3 linked regions of the Danio rerio genome follow. The protein of the gene in region 1 purifies or fractionates together with the protein of each later gene. This does not show direct contact. Links are inferred from orthologs where the notes say so. Each region holds a gene or a part of one and is shown in the gene's direction. Other genes may lie near its edges. The genes, in order: trim33, ssrp1b and skila.

What was found.
Region 2: the proteins of trim33 (region 1) and ssrp1b purify together in Homo sapiens (affinity purification with mass spectrometry; 3 studies listed by BioGRID and IntAct, with this or other methods). This does not show direct contact. The link is inferred for Danio rerio from reciprocal best matches to the Homo sapiens genes TRIM33 and SSRP1.
Region 3: the proteins of trim33 (region 1) and skila purify together in Homo sapiens (affinity purification with western blotting; 4 studies listed by BioGRID and IntAct, with this or other methods). This does not show direct contact. The link is inferred for Danio rerio from reciprocal best matches to the Homo sapiens genes TRIM33 and SKIL.

What each region holds. Positions count from the first base shown.
Region 1 is NC_133183.1:12,536,577-12,543,329, reverse strand, and holds part of trim33 (E3 ubiquitin-protein ligase TRIM33), read left to right. Parts: intron 1-709; coding exon 710-773; intron 774-2,308; coding exon 2,309-2,432; intron 2,433-4,477; coding exon 4,478-4,845; intron 4,846-5,628; coding exon 5,629-5,752; intron 5,753-6,753. UniProt on the Homo sapiens protein: Acts as an E3 ubiquitin-protein ligase. Promotes SMAD4 ubiquitination, nuclear exclusion and degradation via the ubiquitin proteasome pathway. According to PubMed:16751102, does not promote a decrease in the level of endogenous SMAD4.
Region 2 is NC_133176.1:47,979,474-47,986,226, forward strand, and holds part of ssrp1b (FACT complex subunit SSRP1), read left to right. Parts: intron 1-704; coding exon 705-808; intron 809-3,785; coding exon 3,786-3,914; intron 3,915-4,267; coding exon 4,268-4,489; intron 4,490-6,753. UniProt on the Homo sapiens protein: Component of the FACT complex, a general chromatin factor that acts to reorganize nucleosomes. The FACT complex is involved in multiple processes that require DNA as a template such as mRNA elongation, DNA replication and DNA repair.
Region 3 is NC_133177.1:40,322,707-40,329,559, reverse strand, and holds the start of skila (ski-like protein), read left to right. Parts: upstream 1-2,208; 5' UTR 2,209-2,263; intron 2,264-3,931; 5' UTR 3,932-4,084; coding exon 4,085-5,206; intron 5,207-6,853. UniProt on the Homo sapiens protein: May have regulatory role in cell division or differentiation in response to extracellular signals.

The sequences.
Region 1 (6,753 bases):
GCGCTCCAGGTTCCTTATGGCATAATCTGCTGTCCAACCATATGCACAAACCCTGAGGCTAAGACTGCATTCTGCTGCCCTCGTGAATTTGTGCTCCGTCCCAAATGGTGTGCTACCAAACTGCCTCCAAAGCTCGCTAGCACATTCATGCAGTTCACTATTATTGCTTTGTTTTGATCAATGATTATTTGAAATGATCTTAATTGTTGTGCACTGCTGTTGTTATTGTTAACTAAAACTATTTTAGGTGGAAATTAAATAAATAGAAATATAATTAATACATGAGAAACTTCAAAATGTAAATTCACTTTCTAAAATTGTGTGTTTTGTGAGCTTTGAATTGCTATCCAAAACTGAATGGTCATTAAGATTAGCAAAATATTTGACTCAACAAGTCCCTTAAGATTGTTAAATGCGATTTCTTATGAGACCTAATTGACATTGAGAATTGAGTATATATGTCAGGATTATTCATTGGCGTATTTTGAGCCAACCATCTTGATGTTTTAGAAAATTGTACTACATTTTTTAGGCTTTTTGAAGTTAACAGAATTATTACATTTATTGAATTGCATTACTAAAAGTTAAATAAACCTTTTTTATATCATTTAAGTTGTGCTTTGAGCCAATCTAGAACAATGCCTGCTCACTTGTGAATTTTCTGTAGATTTGATGTTTTTTAACAGACTCTCTGTCGCTTTTTCTTCAGGTTTATCTAATTCTCACACTCCAGCTCGTCCATCCAGCACGTCAAGTACAGGCAGTCGGGGCAGGTCAGTGTTCACTACAGTCTTTTAATGTTTTAGGGTGTTTTCACAGCTAGACTTTTGTTTCGGAACCTGCTTTGTTTCCCCAGTTAGCGTGGTTTGTTTGGCATACGTGTATGCAGCAATCGGGCTCTGATACTGAGATCGCCTGAATGAGGTGGTCTCGGCTTGATTGAAACAAACTTGGGAGCTGATTGATTGTAGTGAGAAAGAAGTATGATTGAACCAGGCTATATCACAGTGGATTATGGACATGTAATAGGCATATATGGCTACTTGAAGAGAGAATTAGAAGTAGAGCGGGATGTCATTCCTACCGGTAAACGTGCATTTCATGCCTAATACGAAAGTGAAAGCATGCTGATCTATTAATGAGAGCTGTTTATCTGTTAGGAAAATTGACCGAACAGCAGTCTTGGTTTATCTGTTGTTTATCTCTAATGTATAAGCCAACTGCTATGTATATGAAAGTCTTACCTCTGATGTGGGTGTCATCATTCAAAATTAAATCGCAGATGTTTGCTTATATTGTCCTATTGCTCATCGTCTTAAATTAAAATAAGGACGCATGACAGCTGAGCGGGACTCTGCAAAATAAACCATGAAGCTCTGACCAATATGACTTGTTTTAGCTGTTTTGGTCCGTTTAGAAACTTTGCCGTGTGAAAGCAAACCCTAAACTAGACATACTAGTTTAAACTTTTTGAATTGTGTTACTCATAAGTTCATGATCCTTTACTTTTTAAAAAAAAAATCTTCATATACTGGGATGAATTTTAGCAGAGACTGTATTTTGAATTTAAAAAATCAAGCAATTGCGTAAAACATATGCTGGATAAGTTGGCGGTTCATTCCGCTGTGACGACCCCAGATTAATAAAGGGACTAAGCCGAAAAAAAAATGAATGAATAAATGAAGTACATAAATTAAAAAAAAAAAATTTGTATTTGTTTTATAATATATTCAGCACATATGAGTACACAAACAAAAATCTCTTATTTAAATAAATATTTTCTATAGGAAGCTTTACAATATTATATTTGTGCATATACATGAGTTTAGTCAGTACTGAAGCCCATTCTGGAGCTTATTTAAAAAAAAAAAAAAACTTACTATAATGGTTAAAAAAAATTAGTAGGACAAATGTATATGTTGTAGAAAAATATTAAATAACATTTTCTAAAATAGCAAAAATCAAGAGAAACAAAAATATATACAATTTTGTTAATGTTGTAGTTTTTTGTTCAATATTTTGCATGAATTTAAATGTAATATCTTTCCATTTCTAAATATATTTGGTGACTTAAATATTAATAAATAATAAAATATTAAAATATTAATTAATAAATCTGTTTTCTTTAAATGCACCAAAATACATTGCCTATATTCACTGACAAATGGATAAATATTTATTTTCAAAATGGGGTGTACTCAGTTATGCTGAGCACTGTATATATGAATGCATCCAAATGGTCTCCAAATGTTCAGACATTGCATACAAAGTGATAATGTGTTATTTATGTTTGTGTGTGTGTGTTTAGTTCTGGAACCACAGTGGACCAGGTGAAGGTCAAACAGGAGCCAGGAGTTGAGGAAGAATGTAGCTATACTGGAGCAAACGTCAAAACTGAACGAACTAAAGATGGCAGACGGAGCGCTTGTATGGTAATCACCTTTAGCTTACAGTTTTCGTAGAACGTAGTCCCACATATTTCTAGTTTTCCTTTAACTTCTTACAAACTGAAAAGATTTGTGAATTTCTTTGAAGACCTAAACCATATTATGACCCGTTTCCACTGAGTGGTACAGTACAGTTCTGTTCAGTATGCTTTTATGGCCGTTTCCAGTAAAAAGGTGCCTAAAAGCGAATGGTACCGTACCACTTTTTGGGTACCCTTTGCAAAGAGTACCTATCAAAACAAAAGGGTTTCAAAAGGCAGAGCTAGATGCGCAACTAGACACTATTGATTTACAGAAATACGTCACTAATGCGTGCAACAAGAATATATACATATAAAAACAAGCCATGGTAGACCCAAGCTCAAACAAACCTTGTCGTCATCTTGACGAGCAGCCACAAAGCCAAGAAGAACAAAATCTGCCATGTCATGTTTTTGTTTCACGGGACCGTCTAAATGTGCAAACGGTTTCACTCTCTTCAGAGAGCTCGCGTGCACTCATCGCGCGTCTATTTGGCATTTGATCAAGATTTGATGAGAAACTGAAGTATGAGGTGACGTGAAAAAAAACATTGAGCCATTTAGTCAAAAGTGACAAACTAAAAGCTTTACATGTTTATATCAGTTTTATATTTTCTAAATGTGAATTTTGTCACTGTTTTGGGCACACTTGGTAGTAGATATCCTAAAAATTAACAGTACTTTTATTTATTTAAGTGCTCATGTATAAATTATTACTTAGATATTTGAGTGCTCTAAGCTCTTAAATAAGCGCTTGAGTTTCCAGAAAGCGCTATATAAAATGTAGGGACTTAAGTTGATTCTCGAGTTGACATTGACTAGTTGTTGGTGACGTCATCATTAAAAAACACCATGCAAATATTTTGCAACATGCCATTATTTGTGATTTATTTGCATGAAATATATACACATGCTGTTTGACAGCTCATGCTGTTTGACATACTGCAAAAACAATGCCACAATAACGATGACTAATTTTAATGCAAACAAATGCACTGTCACCACTTTCATTTAGTAAATAATGCGACATTAACACGGGCTAATTTTACTGCTAAATAAAAGCAGTCAACACATTGATTGCTGCAGGTTCTAGTAAAAATAACAGATTTTATTGCAGAAGTAATGCAAACATCGTCAGCACACTTCATGTGAAGTTATTTCATAACATACATAAAGACATAGGCTATATGCTTAATTACACTGTGAGAGACTTGCACAGATGCATATTTTACTGCTATGATGGTGCGCGCTAGAAAGCTGCTCAAAATCCTGCTCAAGTCGTGCAATTTTCAGGGTTACTGGCTCATCTTGGTTATCAGACGTCTCTTCTGCACATTTTCATTGCGTTCACCTGGGATGATAGTTACACATTTTATGAAGTTTGTCACACTTCTGGTGGCTGCGGACTTCACAGTTTCTGTGCGCTTCACGGTTCATCCACAAAACATGTCAGCATCTGCACTTCCCAGAGGACAACAGCCAATCACATTACTTTTTCACGTTACTTAAACATGATTGGCTAGGATTTGCTCGAGTATTTGCATGGAGCGACATAACTAGCATCTGTTTGAAGTTTACTCAAAGCTCACGTGAATCTTTCATGCTCCAATAAGAAAAATAACATTAAAAAGGAACTTAAATAATTTGAGGGCACTTTCAGTTAGTGAACCACCTTCTTGTGCATTAGCAGAGCATGAAAGTCGACCAGTTGACCTGTCTGTGCAACCCCTACTTCACAGACTCGTACTGCGACACATTCATCATCAATATGAGGACATATTATCAGGAGGACTCCTTTAGAACAATTAAAAGAAATGGAAACTGATTAAAAATCTAGGATGTTTTCCCCTATATTTACTAGAAATGTGTACAAATGTGTTTTCAAATTGCTTCCCGTAGAAAAAAAAAAAAATCCTTTACATTTTTTATTTTGGCCCTCAGGCTCCCTAGAGGTTAGACCTGTTCTCTCTTCACAATGTCTTTCCTTTGTTGTTCTTCCTCCTCACACAGATGAGCAGTCCAGAAGGAAGTTTAACTCCCCCTCTCCCCATCCTTGGCTCCGTGTCCACCGGCTCAGTCCAGGACATTTTAAGGACACTTGGTGAAAACGTTAAATCTGAACCACAGAGCGATAACCTTTCCTCCTGCACGAACCCGAACTCCAGAGCAACTCTAACCAATGGGACCAGCGGGTCGAATGGAGGCCAGCGAGGCGGCACTACTAATGCTAACAGTCAGACCACTGCGGGAAAGGAAGACGACCCGAATGAAGACTGGTGTGCTGTTTGTCAGAACGGAGGAGAACTGCTGTGCTGCGATCACTGTCCCAAAGTCTTCCACATAACCTGTCATATCCCAACACTCAAATCCTCTCCCAGGTAAAGGATGCGGCTTTATTCATACATATGGTGCAGCACAGTCAATATTATTGTATCTGAATGTTTTAAGCAGACACTTAAAGGTGCTGTATGAACGCTTTTGACTCTTTTAAAGCATAAAAATACCATGATATGTTTGCAGATATTTAAGAAACGTGCCATATGAACATCCGCATTGTTTTTCAGACAAACAAGAAGTCAGATATTCTGCTTTGAAAATGTGCTTTACGAGCTGGAATGTCTGTCTTTTTGGTTTTGATGTCTTAAACCTGCCCAATGCCAGTTTAGCCAATTATGTTTCAGCTCCCTGGGTTGCCTTTGTGGACAACAGCTTATTTTATTCATTTAGTTAGGAAAGCTCCTTGCATCCCTGACCAAACCATTTTAGATATGCGCACAAAAATAGGCTGATGGAAACGTAGCTACCTAGCTTTAACCTGTGGTGTATTAATAATATGGTATGGAGCTTGGAAAAACATAATTTTTACTCAACTCAGGAAAACAAAAAGAGTAAGAAGAATAAAATTACTCTACATGCAATAGAAGCGCTACAACCAAGGAAGAAAGCACTGAATTTACCTGGGGCTAATTTGTTTATTCAGTCTTGACCAAGGTCATTTAAATAATTTAATCATAGAGGTTCAGTGGCGTAAGATTCTGCTTAATGCTTAATGTCATTAGGGGTACAAAATGTTCCTGTTTAATTCAATTCAATTATTTTTAAGACCAAATATTAAGATATGGAATTCTGAATTTTAATTTCTGTTTGTTGGTTAATTGCAGTGGGGATTGGATGTGCACGTTCTGCAGAAATCTCGCAAATCCAGAGATCGAGTACAACTGTGATGACGATCCACCCAGAAACAAAGAAAAAAATGAGATGGCAATGAGTCCAGAAGAACAAAGGGTGAGTCACGCTGACAAACAAACACCATAATACACAGAGAATGAGTGAACAAAGGTGAACACTTTTTACTCGAACCACAGTCTGTAGATAAGCCTGTTCACACCAACGATTATTTTACTAACAATGGGTTTTCCACTGTACAAGATGAGGACATGAGAATCGAAACATGTAGCAGAATGAAAGATCTTGAAGATTGCTTGTAGTTTGCTTTCATCCAAGGGATAATTCGCCCCAAAAATGAAAAGGTTCCCATCGTTTACTCGCACTCAAGTGGTCAATAATGGATTTATTTTTTCTGTTGAACACAAAACAAGATATTCTGAAGAATTTTGGGGGGAAATGGTCATTGACATCCATGGTAGGAACAAAAACATACAATAGAAGTCAATGGATGAAAAGCAATTTCAACATTTTTTTATGTATCTTCCTTTTTGTTCAACAGAAAAAATAATTGGATGTTGAGTAAATGGCAGAATTTTCATTTTTGGGTGAACTGTCCCTTTAAGGTTTCAAAATAAGATCAGTACTGTATTTGTTTGACATTTTGATTTTGTAATCAGATTCAGAGAAATCTGTATTGGCTATAATTTCCATATAGCTGCATCTCTAATTCTTAAATAAACAAAAGTTAACAATATAAACAAAGTAAACAAAAGTTAAACAAACTTAAACAAATTAAGTTAAACAAAACAAATACTAAAGTAAACAAAATAACAATAAAATAATACAAATAAACCATTATAAAAATAAAATATAACAACATATAATAACAAAATACAATAAAAAATAAACCAAATAAAACAATAAAAGTAAATAAAATAGCAGTAAAATAATACAAATAAACAAAATTACTAAATAAAATGCTAAAAATTAACTATAATACAAATAAAATATAATAAAAAATAATAACAAAATAAAGTAAATAAGTTAAAATGATAACAAAATATAATAACAAAATAAACAAAATAAGTTAAAATGATAACTAAATAAAATGACAGAAT
Region 2 (6,753 bases), on another chromosome or scaffold:
GCCTCATGACAATCATGTTTATGACGGATTTATGACTGGTTATGTTGTCTTAATAATAGTCAAGTTTGATGACATAAAAATTTGAATATATTTATGTCAACTGGCCTTAAAGTCTGCATGAACCTGAAGCTGCGACCATGTTTTTTTTTGTATTGTGACGTTGTTCTTCGAGAATATTAAATAAGAAAACAGTGGGTGTGGCTTGTTTTTTCTACTGCGAGCTGATTGGATGTAGTAAAGTAGGCATTTCATTCACAAACATCAGGAAAATTTTAGGATTGTTATTACAACCTAACAGACTCCTCCTCCTCACCATTTCTGTTGTCAAAACTGACAGTTGGAGGGGTGTGGTTAAATATGTTAGCCACGCCCATTATCTCAGATAGACTTAATGTGAAAATTTAACTGAAAACAAACAGGAAGTGTGCTTTCATATTTCAATTAAAGATTACAAGAGCAAACTTTATTTTTTCTTAATGACATGCACAGATGAACTTTTCAAAATGGCAAAATGAGCTATTAAAATCATCTGGTTAGTTTTGATTTCATTTGTACTTTAGCAAAGACATCTCAAACAATGTCATCATTGCTTTTAACACGACATAGCTGAGCAAATGGCACTCAATGACAGTGATCATAAGAATAGATATAATCTCCTTCATATTCATGCCATGTCATGGTTATAAGGCCATCTTCTGTTTCAGATCAGTCTGGACCCCCCTATTAAACAGGGTCAAACACGCTATCACTTTCTCATTCTTCTGTTCTCCAAGGAAGAAACCATCAGCCTCACACTCAACATGAATGAGTGAGTAAAACCTGAAAGAGATTGAGAGACACTGGTGAAAGATGTCAGAAGTCCGCTATTTACATTTTACTAACAGTATTAAAAGCAGATGACCAAAAATGTATTATTATTTACGAAGAATATTAGCTTAAATCAACCTGAGGTTAAAGGAATTGCAATGTGTCCTAATTACAAGCGATGCGGCGTGATGCTGCGACATGTAAATAAAGATAAAAGGCATCTATTATGCCTCTTTATACAAGATGTAAAAATAAGTCTCTGATGTCCCTAGAGCGTGTATGTGAAGTTTTAGCTCAAGAGACCTCACAAATAATGTTTCATAACTCTTTGAAACTGTCTCTTTTTGACTTTTTTTTTTTACCTTTTTGATCCAAATTGTGTCTTTTTGGTGACACTTTAAAGGGCCATGAAACCCCCTCGTTTCAGCAGGGTGTTTTCACACCTCTACTTTGGAAAAAGTCAGAAAAGTGGGCGTGTCCAGCTCTGTTTAGGGGGGAGTGTCGGAGGAAGAAAAGTGGGATGGTGTGGGAGTGTCTATTTGGGCACGCGCGAGCTTCAGAGTCATAATACACACACACACACACACAGTAGTAAGTGATGGTGTTTAACCTACATGGACATCTGTAGTGGAATTATTTGCCAAATTATTAAATGGTGGACTTTAAATGCAGTTTGGCTCTTTAATTCAGGGATTTATTCATGCCCCTCCCGACAAATGAGATATTTGATTCGAGGAACTGCTCTAAGCGTGTATTTTCCATGCAATGTTTGATACCGCACTCCGAATGAGAGAAAAAAAACCTCCGCATTTCCCGGAAACTTAGATGCACACGGCAGGTAGCGTCAGAAAGCTGCGCGTGTTATTCCGGTCACTAAATGCGGTAAAAACCCTACACGAGGTTAAAGTTTGGTTGTGGTGCTAACGTGTTTACACTCGGTGCAATAGTTAACTTAGTTCGATACGAATAAACTGAATAAACAAAGAGCACTGGTCGCTCACTTACCAAATCTATAGAGGACAATCACCAGCAACTAGAGCCGCGTCTTTATTAAGAGAATACTACAAGCAAATCCGGATCTCTGCGTTTGCAGATGAGAACAGCTCTCAGGTAAACAATAATCCTCCTTAGACATGTAAGCTATTGTTGTCGAGCGTCGCGTACACTGTTAATCCTCACGTGACTCCAGATGAGCTCTCACAGAGAGAAAATGAAAACGAAACTTAACTGCAGCAAACAATAAAAGCAACACTTCACGCTTGTTTTGCCAACACAACGTGGCATCTCTTCATGTGACAGTAATGAATATTAATGAAGTTGCACAATAGAGCGCGCTGATTGGTTTGAACCAAGCTTTACTCATGCATTAATGCATCACACTGTAAGACGTAATAAGACACACTCTGGCACAGACGCCCAGTCTGCACGCTGCAATACACGCTATTATGTCATGACCGTGACGCGGCTTCAAAAATTCGTTTCAAACCGGAAGTACGAATTTGCTTGAAATAACGCAAAAACAACCAATTTACACTTTTTAGTGAAATATAGGTGTCCTAATAGTGTTTTTAGCAGTGTGGGACACATATACGACTGTCAACAGCTCAAAAAATGTGTTTTGGTGTTTCGTGACCCTTTAAATTCAAATGAGATCTTTTCAAAATAGGGCGGAGCTACAAATGGCTGTGAGTCAGCATAGTGGCATATTCAAAATAAAGACTAAGCCCCTATGCCAATGAGGGAGAGTTCTTCACCAATAGGCGGGGCTTTTTCCCTCTGAAGACATTTACAAAGGGAGAATGTCAATAAAAGTGTCTCATTAGATTGTTTTTATCAAGTGTGATTATAAAAATATTATTACTTTTTACCATTAGAAGCTGGTTAGATTCACAACTCAATTTTTTTGCATAATGGTGTCCTTTATTACACATTTTTGTTCGATAGCTTTTTATTTTGATGGTCAGTTTGAGTATAAGTAGACTGTCTGCTTAATATCTGTTGAAATGCTCCTTCAACAGACATTTACCATACTATAAGAAAATTTGCAATTACATGCCAACTCACACTATCTCTATCACCAACCCTAACCCCAACCTAATGGTCTTATAATCTAATGAAAATTAGTTAGCATGTAGATACAATGTAACTTACATTGAACAAAAGCACCATCAAACTAAAGTCTGACCTTTTGTCCTAACCATCCACAATGCTTTATAGAAATGTTTTATATAAACAACAATGGCGAAGCTGTGGCGCACTAGGTAGTGCCTCACAGCAAGAAGGTCCCTGGTTCGAGCCTCGGCTGGGTCAGTTGGCATTTCTGTGTGGAGTTTGCATGTTCTCCCTGCATTCGCGTGGGTTTCCTCCGGGAGCTCCGATTTCCCCCACAGTCCAAAAGACATGCGGTACAGGCGAATTGGGTGAGCTAAATTGTCCATAGTGAATGAGTGTGTGTGGATGTTTCCCAGAGATGGGTTGTGGCTGAAAGGGCACCTGCTGCGTAAAAATATGTTGGATAAGTTGGCGGTTCATTCCGCTGTGGCAACCCCGGATTAATAAAGGAACTAAGCTGAAAAGAAAATATATGAATAAACAACAATCAGACTATGTGCTTTATTCAGTGTTAATGTGAGTTTGAACACCATTTTACGTGACATACTACTTAAGGCAGTAGCAAATAGTTAATCTCAGATGTAAAAAATTAAATAACTAGCAATCGGTTTGAAAATAAAAGTTAGGACTATGACTCTGAAATGTGTGTGAACTGTGCAAAAAAACAACATCCGTCACTCAGTAGCCTGTTAATAATGTTAAAGAGGTTTAAAGTGTATTAATTAGTTTATAACTCTTACCATTTTATTGTGAGTGCAGTGGCTGGTATTTGAAAGAATGGCTGGTATTTAAATGTTTCTATCGTGTCGTGTTGTGTTGTGTGCAGTGGTTGCCATCCAGCAATATCGTTCTCTTATGTTGTGCAGGGACGAGGTGGAGAGGCGTTTTGAAGGAAAACTTAATAAAAACATGTCCGGCTCTCTCTATGAGATGGTCAGCAGGGTCATGAAAGCCTTGGTCAACAGGAAGATCACAGTGCCTGGAAATTTCCAAGGGTAAAACGCATATTTACACTGTAGAAAACGATACAGTAAAACACTGAAAACACTCAATGACATTTGCATTCAACACTGACATATATATACATACATATATACATATATATATATATATATATATATATATATATATATATATATATATATATATATATATATATATACATATATACACACATATATATATATATATATATATATATATATATATATATATATATATATATATATATATATATATATATATATATATATATAGTGTTTGCATTCATACTGAACAATTACTTGATAATGTGGTAATTTATTGTAATAAAAGTGTCTAATTTCCTGTCTCTCTCTGTTCTCTGTAGTCACTCAGGAGCTCAGTGTATAACCTGCTCCTATAAGGCCAGTTCAGGGCTGCTGTATCCCCTGGAAAGAGGTTTCATCTACGTGCACAAGCCCCCAGTGCACCTGCGTTTTGAGGAGATCGCCTGTGTGAACTTCGCCCGCGGGACCACCACGACCCGCTCCTTCGATTTCGAGATCGAGACCAAGCAAGGCAATCAGTACACCTTCAGCAGCATCGAGAGGTACCCAGAACCCCCGATGATACTCTTGTCTGGCTGTCGGGAACATCACTTTGAAGGGAACTAGATCACAGCAGTAATGAAAAGAGCATTGTTCATACCCTTTTCCAGGCACTTCCAGCTATTATGTCATTGAGCACTTAACCCCCATCTGCCATTGAAAATCAATGCCTGCTCTTTGTGGTCATTCTCTCTGTTTTTGTCTTAACACTGGTGTAAAAGAGCCCCTCTCTTTTAGTGACCTGACCCCCATCTGCACGTTGAGGGGGCAAAAACTAAGCTGCTTTATGGACATTATTGTATTTTCTGTTGGGTGCACATTATGACTGAATCAATACAGCAAGGCATCAGTTAATCACATCACACTAATGTGCCAGAAACAATGTGTCCGGAAAACTTTTAAGGGACCGTTCACACAGAAGACGTTTTTTATATTCCAGTGTGCAACTTTTCCATTGTCTTTCTATGTAATATGTGCTTGATGTGTACATAGACTTTAAGACGCCATGTCAAGTTTTTTAAGAATTTAAAGTTTTACATAAATTTACTTCAAAGTCTTCTGATTGTGGGCCAATCAGAAGGTGTTGGAGGCGGGGCAAGTGTCTTGTTTACATTAGCAAGTTGGGAGACGGCTGTTTTATTTGACAGCAACATGGCGGAATTTAAAAAAAAAACTACTTCTACTACTTTTGAGCACATTTTTAGACACAAAGAAATGTTTTGTGTAAATGGGCCTTAAAATATTAATATAATAATAATAATAATAATAATAATAATAATAATAATAATAATAATTCTTTACATTTATATAGCGCTTTTCTGGAGACTCAAAACCCTTTACACATTGGGGGGAATCTCCTCATCCACCACCAGTGTGCAGCATTCACCTGGATGGCAGCCATATCGCGCCAGAGCACACACCACATACCAGCTGATTGGTGGAAAGGAGACAGAGTGATGAAGCCATTTATGGTATGGGGATGATTTAGGAGGCCATTATGGACAGAGGCCAGTAGGCAAATTTGGCCAGGATGCTGGGGTTAAACCCCTACACTTTTTTAACGGACATCCTGGGATTTTTAATGACCACAGAGAGTCAGGACCTTGGTTTAATGTCTCATCCGAAAGACACCGCTCACTATCCCTGTCACTATACTGGGGCATTGGGACCCACACAGAGCACAGGTTGCAGCCCTGCTTAGCTTCAGTGGGCGACCATGTGAAAGTTGCAGAGAGCTAGCTCACGGCTATGCCATATACTGCATTAGTTTAATTAGTTAAATTATTCTCTGATATCTACATATTGGGTTTAAAAAAATCTCCAGAAACTGTTTTATAAGGTCATTTAATACTCTATAAAGTACCCATAGAATCAGAAGGTCCATGATTGACCATATATGGTTCATGTCATGAATATTAATAAGCTTGTGCTCCCTTTACAGACACACAGACAGAGCATAATGTATGCGAACACGGACAAATATAAAACCCAATCCGAGTAATGTTAACCTATTTTGTTCTTCATTTCTGTTGTGGATAAAAACTAAATTATGATTAAACTTGACAAAAGAGAGTGATAGATATTTATCGGGTTGGATCTAAGCTAAATTCAAAGAAAACACTGCCAGGAATTAACATCAACGTCTGCATGAACAGTTGAACTGAGTGATTTGATACAATTCTGCAGTCTACATGTGTTTGTTAAAACATACGCATCGAATTTCACAATAAACACGATAAGTTAACAAAAGACTATATCAAACACACCTGCCTGTAATTATCACGTGGTGTTCAGGTCCTAATTAATTGGTTCAGGTGTGTTTGATCTGGGTTGCAACTGAAATCTGCAGGAAGGTGGCTCTCCAGGAACAGGGTTGGCCACCCCTGATATATATCATGATATCAGCAATTCTTGGATATATCATAAGCAAACCATCCACAATTTTTGTAAATAAAGGGGAAAAAGGCACCAAAAAGTTATAAGATGCATTTCTTTTATTAACAACACATGCTTTATAGAATTATGACAAAGTAAAACAAGCGCACAGATGTCAAATAAATGTAAAAATGTTGTAAACTTAAGACTCTTATTATATGTAAACATGCAAACATTTTATGCTTAGCCCTGGATTATTTTTAATAAAAAACCATGCATTCGTACTAGTTGAATATTTTTTCTTCAATGATCAGAATGTTTATAGAGGTGAGCACAGACTCCTCTGAGCATTTATGATTTCTCCAGCAGTGGAGAACATTAGTTATTTACT
Region 3 (6,853 bases), on another chromosome or scaffold:
GGTTGCTGGTTTGAGCCTCGGCTGAGTCAGTTGGCGTTTCTGTGTGGAGTTTGCATGTTCTCCCTGCGTTAGGGTTTCCCCCACAGTCCAAAGACATGCGGTACATGTGAATTGGGCAGGCTAAATAGGCCTAGTGTATGAGTGTGAATGACTGTATGCATGTTTCCCAGAGATGGGTTACAGCTGGAAGGCCATCCGCTGCTTAAAACATGTGCTGGATAAATTGGCGATTCATTCCGCTCTGGCAACCCCAGATTAATAAAGGGACTAAACCAAAAAGAAAATGAATGAATGAATAAATAGTTTAAGAAACAATGACAGCACAATACACAATGTATTATAAAAATTACAAGTAAAATGGAAATATAGAAAAACATATCTTAAAAATGTAAAAAAAAAAACTAATAATTTTTCAACTTAACAAAACACATTGAAAGTAAACAGAAATTAAAGCTAAAACTGAAATAGAAATAAAATAAACAAAGCTAAATGGGTATTTTTTTGTAAATAAATACAATAAAATCTGTAAGTCATTTTTCGCAATTTTTGTCATATTTTATACATTTTTTTTGGTTTAGAAATAATATAAATGAAAATCATTTTAATTAAGAATAGGTTTAAAATGCTATTTATGCCAGTGATTCAAAGCTGAATATTTACTGAAAAAAGCATGATTTTCTGAAACCCATTTCCTAAAACTTTTGAACTACAGTTGAAGTAAGAATTATTTGCCCTCCTGAATTAATAGCCTAAATATAACAGGTAAGACTTTCTCCAGAACAAAAAAAAATATTACCAGACATCTGTTAAACATAATTTGTAAAATATTTTAAAAAGAAAACAAAGTTCAAAGGAGGGCTAGAATACTGACTTCAACTGTAAATTGTTATTGGGGAAAGTTATTTTTCAAAGTAATGCATTACAATTTTTAGTTACTCCTCAAAAAAGTAAGTTACATTACTAAGTTACTTTTTATAATAAGTAATGTGTCACGCTACTTTTGAGTTACTTTTGCATTACCTTTTCTGACCTGGCTGAGACTTGATCTGTTTCAGATCTTGCAGGATTTTTTCCTTCTTTTTTAAAATAAAGCAGCTCTGCAATAAACATCGCACTAAATAACCTACACCTTCATTTACCTTTTAAAAACACATCATAAAATAATAATGTAGGATAATCTTATCTTTTGAGAACTTCCTGACCCTCAAGGATATATGCCTATACAGGTAATAATGAAAGTCTAATGCAATGTGACTACTACTTTTGTCTTTTTTGTGCTATTAATAAAGTAAAATCACTATCCATTGAGACTATAATCCTGTTTTCCTTTTCTGTGATTCGTTCAGAATAATAAGAAAACTCCCATTGCAGAAATATAAGGCTCTGCCATGTTGGTTTCTGTCTTTTCCTGCATTCTATCATTGAGTGTGGGATTCAATCTGACATTTATTTTATTTCAGCCATTTGTTTTTATAAGCTAATTAATTAAGCTAAAAAGTCACTCAAATAGTATTACTTAATTTTTAAAAATATGCATTACTCATTACTTAGAAAAGTAATATTATTACGTAACTCGTTACTTGTAATGTGTTACGCCCTCAACACTATAATTGTAAAACAGAATAATGTTTTATGTCTTTACCAAGTACAAAAACTGTGATGTTTTGCATGATATGTATTTCATTTAAACAGCCCATTTCAGATGAGTCATTATCTGTGAAACATTGACAGACCTCAGCTCATGCTGCCATTCATTATTCCTCAAAAATCATGCTAAGTCATAGCGTGAATGGGGATGTGGCTAAAGTTACTATTTAATTTCCATTTACTCCTTTCTCTTACCATAAAGTGATTCAAATTCAGCATGCTCCACTATGACTGTCCCTAAGTAGACAGCAAAACTCCCTTATTTCTAAAGAAATGTCCCTTGGTTAGTCATGTGTGCAAGCGCAAGTTACTAGTAGACCACAGATGACAACTGAACATGTACTACATGCATTACATTACATTTACTGTAACCTGTAAATTCTTGCAAAGTTCATGAGAATCTGGCGGCGCGCTGCAGACAGACAGGACAGACAGACAGACAGACACACATACATAGACACGCCCGCGCAACATCATCCGCTCCGCCAGTGCGCGCTCTCGCTGTGTGTGACGCGCGATCTGTCTGAAGGCTTTGAGTGTGTGCGCGTGTTGTTGACGCTCAGACAGACTAGAGGAGAGACCGAGAGAGACAGCAGAGCAGATCGTTCATCCTGAGGCAAGTCCCTTTAAAACCCACATCTGATTCGCCTATACACTGCGTCCATTACTCTGGTGGATCAGCAGTTTGTCGCTGTGTTTTTTAAAACCGTTTTGAAGGTTTGTAATAGTTAAGTGACGTTTATTTCTGTCTCTGAACGGGGATTTGTAGCGTTAGCTCGGTTAGCGCGTGCTAAAGGGTCTAAATATTCTAGCCGCACTGCTAAAGCTGTCTGTGCGAACGAGCCAGTTTTTCAGATGTTAAACCGGTTTTGGTGCTGTCAATGAGCAATAATAATTTGCTTATAGGTGGCGTGTGAATTTTTGAGATGTGTGTTTTGATGTGCCATTTAAAAGGGTATAATATACGTGTATATTATGTGTTTAACCTGGTCATATTGGTGATCGAGCTGGGAGTATTTGTGTGATTGATTTAAATCTTAGATATGATCTATATTGTGTTTAATACAAATGTCTGTATTTCTGTTTTTCAAAAACAGTTTTGGGGATATCGCTGTTTAACGTATTTTGAGGGGGTGGTCAGGTGTCAGACTGGCTGAATGGTTGGCAAACGTTTCACTGCCGAATGAAGACATGGGAATGGATTTAAAATAGAAGCTTTCGATGTCGTGTTGGGATATTTAATGTGTAATAGCCGTGATCAGGTTTTCTTTTCATGTGAAGGGTTTTCCCGATTGCGGGGATGGTGATTGTCACACCGCGGGTGCTCAGCGCAGCTGTGCCCGGAGAAGGAGAGGGGAGAGACGGGTAGAGGCGGGGACAGAGCCGCGGTGTCCTTGCGGGGGTAAAAAGAGAGACGCTGTCATTCAGGGTTAAAAATAGACCGCGTTTTGCCAGTGTTTCTGGAAACTGGTTATTTTATGAGGAAATGAAACGACGTCTGCGGTCAGGGTCAGTCTGTTTGAGTTGACCCGCAAATCTGGTAACGTTAAAGCAAAACCAAGCGTTTATTTCGAGGAACTTGAGATTATTATGCTTTGGTGGCCCTTTAATTTTCGCCAAAATGAATGCATTCCGTTTGTAGAACAGAAACGCATGTTGTGATTCTGAAATGAAACGCGTTTTTCTGATGGATTTTGCCGAAACCCCACTGGCATGCGCTGAATTTGAGGCTGAGCTTTCATTTTGCCTTCATATTCGTGCTCGGAAATTCCGCCAGTTCAGGCTTTTGCTTGTACGATGAAAACATCCTTTTTTATTTACAATATAATATATACATTTAATCTTGCGTGGCAGAAGTGGTGTTTATGTGTCGTTAATACATTTTGTTTCAAGCCTGCTGTGGTTGGACAGGACTAAATGGCTGCTCGCTGTTAGTTACTGATGCTGTTGGTTATCTGTGTTAAACCGACGTTATTAGTGCACTGACTCATTTACCGCCTTGACGGATTCGGCATGTTGTCAGTAGAGAAAAACAGCGCACTAAACCAGCGAGAAACTGGCCTTAGATCGATTGCTTTCAAATTAGATTATCCTGATGAGGTGAAAATGTTTCTGTCGTCTAGTTTAGCACTGTGCCCAACGCTAAAACGCTTCTGGATGCCTTTTAATTGCTCTGGCAGCATTTTCCATTCATCCGCATTCACGTGGCTTCACATTCTGATTTGTGTTTGATTTAGTAAGAATTGTATTTTAATACAAGCCTTTTTTACCTTTTCATTCACAGGAAGCTCGTTGAACATTTAATTCTGTCAGCATCATGCATGTAGCTAGACGTAAAAGGATTTGCAACCTTTAACACAGCGAGCAAAGTAGGACCAACCCAAAGGTGTCGTGTCTGACGATTATTTTCCACCCAAGGAAGACCAGTTATCTGTGTATGGATATGGCCAGCCCTCAGACAGGTCTGAAAACCCCTTTTAAAGACCTGACCTCATTTAAAGGCAACATGAAGCGGCTGTACAGGGAGCGACTGGAAGATGCTCCCATTAAAAAACGGGTAATGGCAGAGATGCATTTGAAACGTCGCAGCCTGGAGAGCATCCCCAAACCCCTAAAAGTCAAGAAGGAGCGTGAGGAGCACACCAGCTCAGAAATGGACATGGAGGAAAGAGAATTCCACATTGTCGGAGCATCCAAGGCTTTAGATCTGAGCGCCGGCCTCAAGCACACGCTGGCACAGTTCACGCTGAGCAGCCAGAGCTCCCTGGGAGGTCCTGCTGCTTTCTCAGCAAAATCGGCACAGGAGTGCGCCTCTCCTGCTGGCATGGCTCCCCTACCGTCTCCCCCAGTCCTCGGAGGAGGCCCACTCTTAGTGCCCTGTGACAGCTCCACAGAGCTTACCCATTCTCTCCTTGAAGGAGAGTCCATCTCCTGCTTTGTTGTAGGTGGTGAGAAGCGTCTTTGTCTGCCCCAGGTACTCAATTCAGTGCTCCGAGACTTCTCTCTGCAGCAGATCAATGCTGTTTGTGATGAACTTTACGTTTACTGTTCGCGGTGTCATGCGGAGCAGCTGCACATTCTCAAGGTGCTGGGCATTTTGCCTTTTAATGCACCTTCCTGTGGCCTGATTACCCTAACTGATGCCCAACGGCTCTGCAATGCCCTGCTTCGCCCAGGTGCCACCATCTCAGCAGATCCCAACAGCAAACTGCCAGGCCAAGGCCTGCTGAAGGAGAGTGACATCAGTTTCCAGGTGGAGCACCAGTGTCTTGGCAAGTGCCAAGGCCTGTTTGTGCCCCATTTCTACGTCCAGCCGGATGCCCCTTGCATTCAGTGCATGGAGTGCCAGCTGCTGTTTTCCCCACAGAACTTTGTAATGCACTCACACAAGTCCCCTGACAAGAGGACCTGCCACTGGGGCTTCGATTCAGCCAAGTGGCCCTGCTACCTTCAGCTGGGGCGCAAGCATGAGGGCACACAGGAGGAGCCACAGCTCAAGCAGCTGCTGGACGAGATGAAGGAGAAGTTTCACTACCAGCTAAAGAGGCCTCTGGACAAAGTAAGTGTCTTTTTGTCTTGCATGTGTTCTGGTTCACTAAGGTCAAGTTTTGCTTCATGTTCACAAGTGGATTTGCACGTGTGTGACCAGATGGTAATGTGTGATAGTCCGCAGAGGAGACTGTTTGCTATTGTCTGGGCAAGGCTGCAGTTGTTTTGATAAACTAGTGCTGACCCAATTTTATGGGGTGGCACAAGCAGGTGACGCTTGCTTGGTTGGGACGTATGGCCGGAGGGAGGGAATTCCAGTTGGTCTGGCTGAAGGGGAAGTACATTATCTTCCTCTCAGGTCAGTACAGGGTCAGCTTTAGGGGGTGGATGATGACAGCACACATTAAAATGGTGGAATTTTGTTACCTTGGATGTACAAGGTTTTCTAGTACCTGTATTTTTTTTTTTTTTATAAATTCCAATTCAAAAATCTGTATTTAAATATTCAAAGCATTAAAACATATGCAACAGCAGTTTTACACTTACCCTTTCCATCCAAAATCATTAATTAATATATGCATAATGAGATGATAAGAATATAATGGATAATAATATATATTTTTGTATTTAATCTAGTCTATCTAGTGGCAATGTTAAGTTTAAAGGAAATGGATTTAAATAACTTTTTTCTGATTTCCAGTCTGAGATTGTACTAAATGATCACGAACAGTGTTTTTCTGCACACATACCACTTTGTTACTTCTAGTATTTTATCTACAATAGGGATGGGTGGGTATAAAATTCAGACGGTATGGTAACCTTTGATAAAAATATCATGGTTTGGTTTCACAGTATTGTGATTACTGCTCTAAAAAATCTTTTGAAATGTCTAAGTAAAGCAACAACGTTTTTTTTTTTCGCTTTGAACACAATGGCTCCGTACAAAATCACATACTTCCATAAAAACAGTATGCGAGCCGAGTAGTATGTTTGAATTCATAGAATTCGAAAATCAGTATGTGAGAAGTATCCGGATGACCTAGAGTGCGGTGAGATTCTGAAGTGTGTATCCGATGGACGCTTCGCTATCCCATGATGCACCGTTAGAGAATTTATGAATGGGAGTGAAGCGGGTATGTCACGTGATAATGACAAAATGCATCTGTACTACGTCCAAGCTCCATTCATACTAGCCACATTACTACTGTATAGAACGTCCGTTTTTGTCGGGTTGTAAATTTAAATTCAGATGCAGTACCTACTAAGTAGTAGGCGATTTTAGCCAATATATTTTGTTTTCAGAAACATTTAAAATATTTCAGAGCAGTAAACATGTCAGGCTAAAGCCTGGTTTAAACTTCTGCGTCAAGTAACCGGCGTAACCGACGGCGCATGTAACGCGCGTAGCTGTGTATTTATATGTCTGCGCGCTGTCTCTGTTGATCTGCATTAACACTTCCGAAACGCTAGTTGGCAGTGAGGTGTAAATGTGCCTTTTTGTCGAGTTTCTTCACTGTTTTGCTTTTCCTGAACGCTTCGGGGATGTACAAGTGGCTCAAACTCGCTCATTTTGAGGCAGGAACTGGCGGACGTGCAACAACTTTAACTATGAGGTAAACCCAAAACAAAACTTTCCATCCGGAGCTCCTTCACGGAACTCCACACTTGTAAACAATCGCTCTATCAGGCTCGCACCATTTGCGCGGCTCTCTGTCCC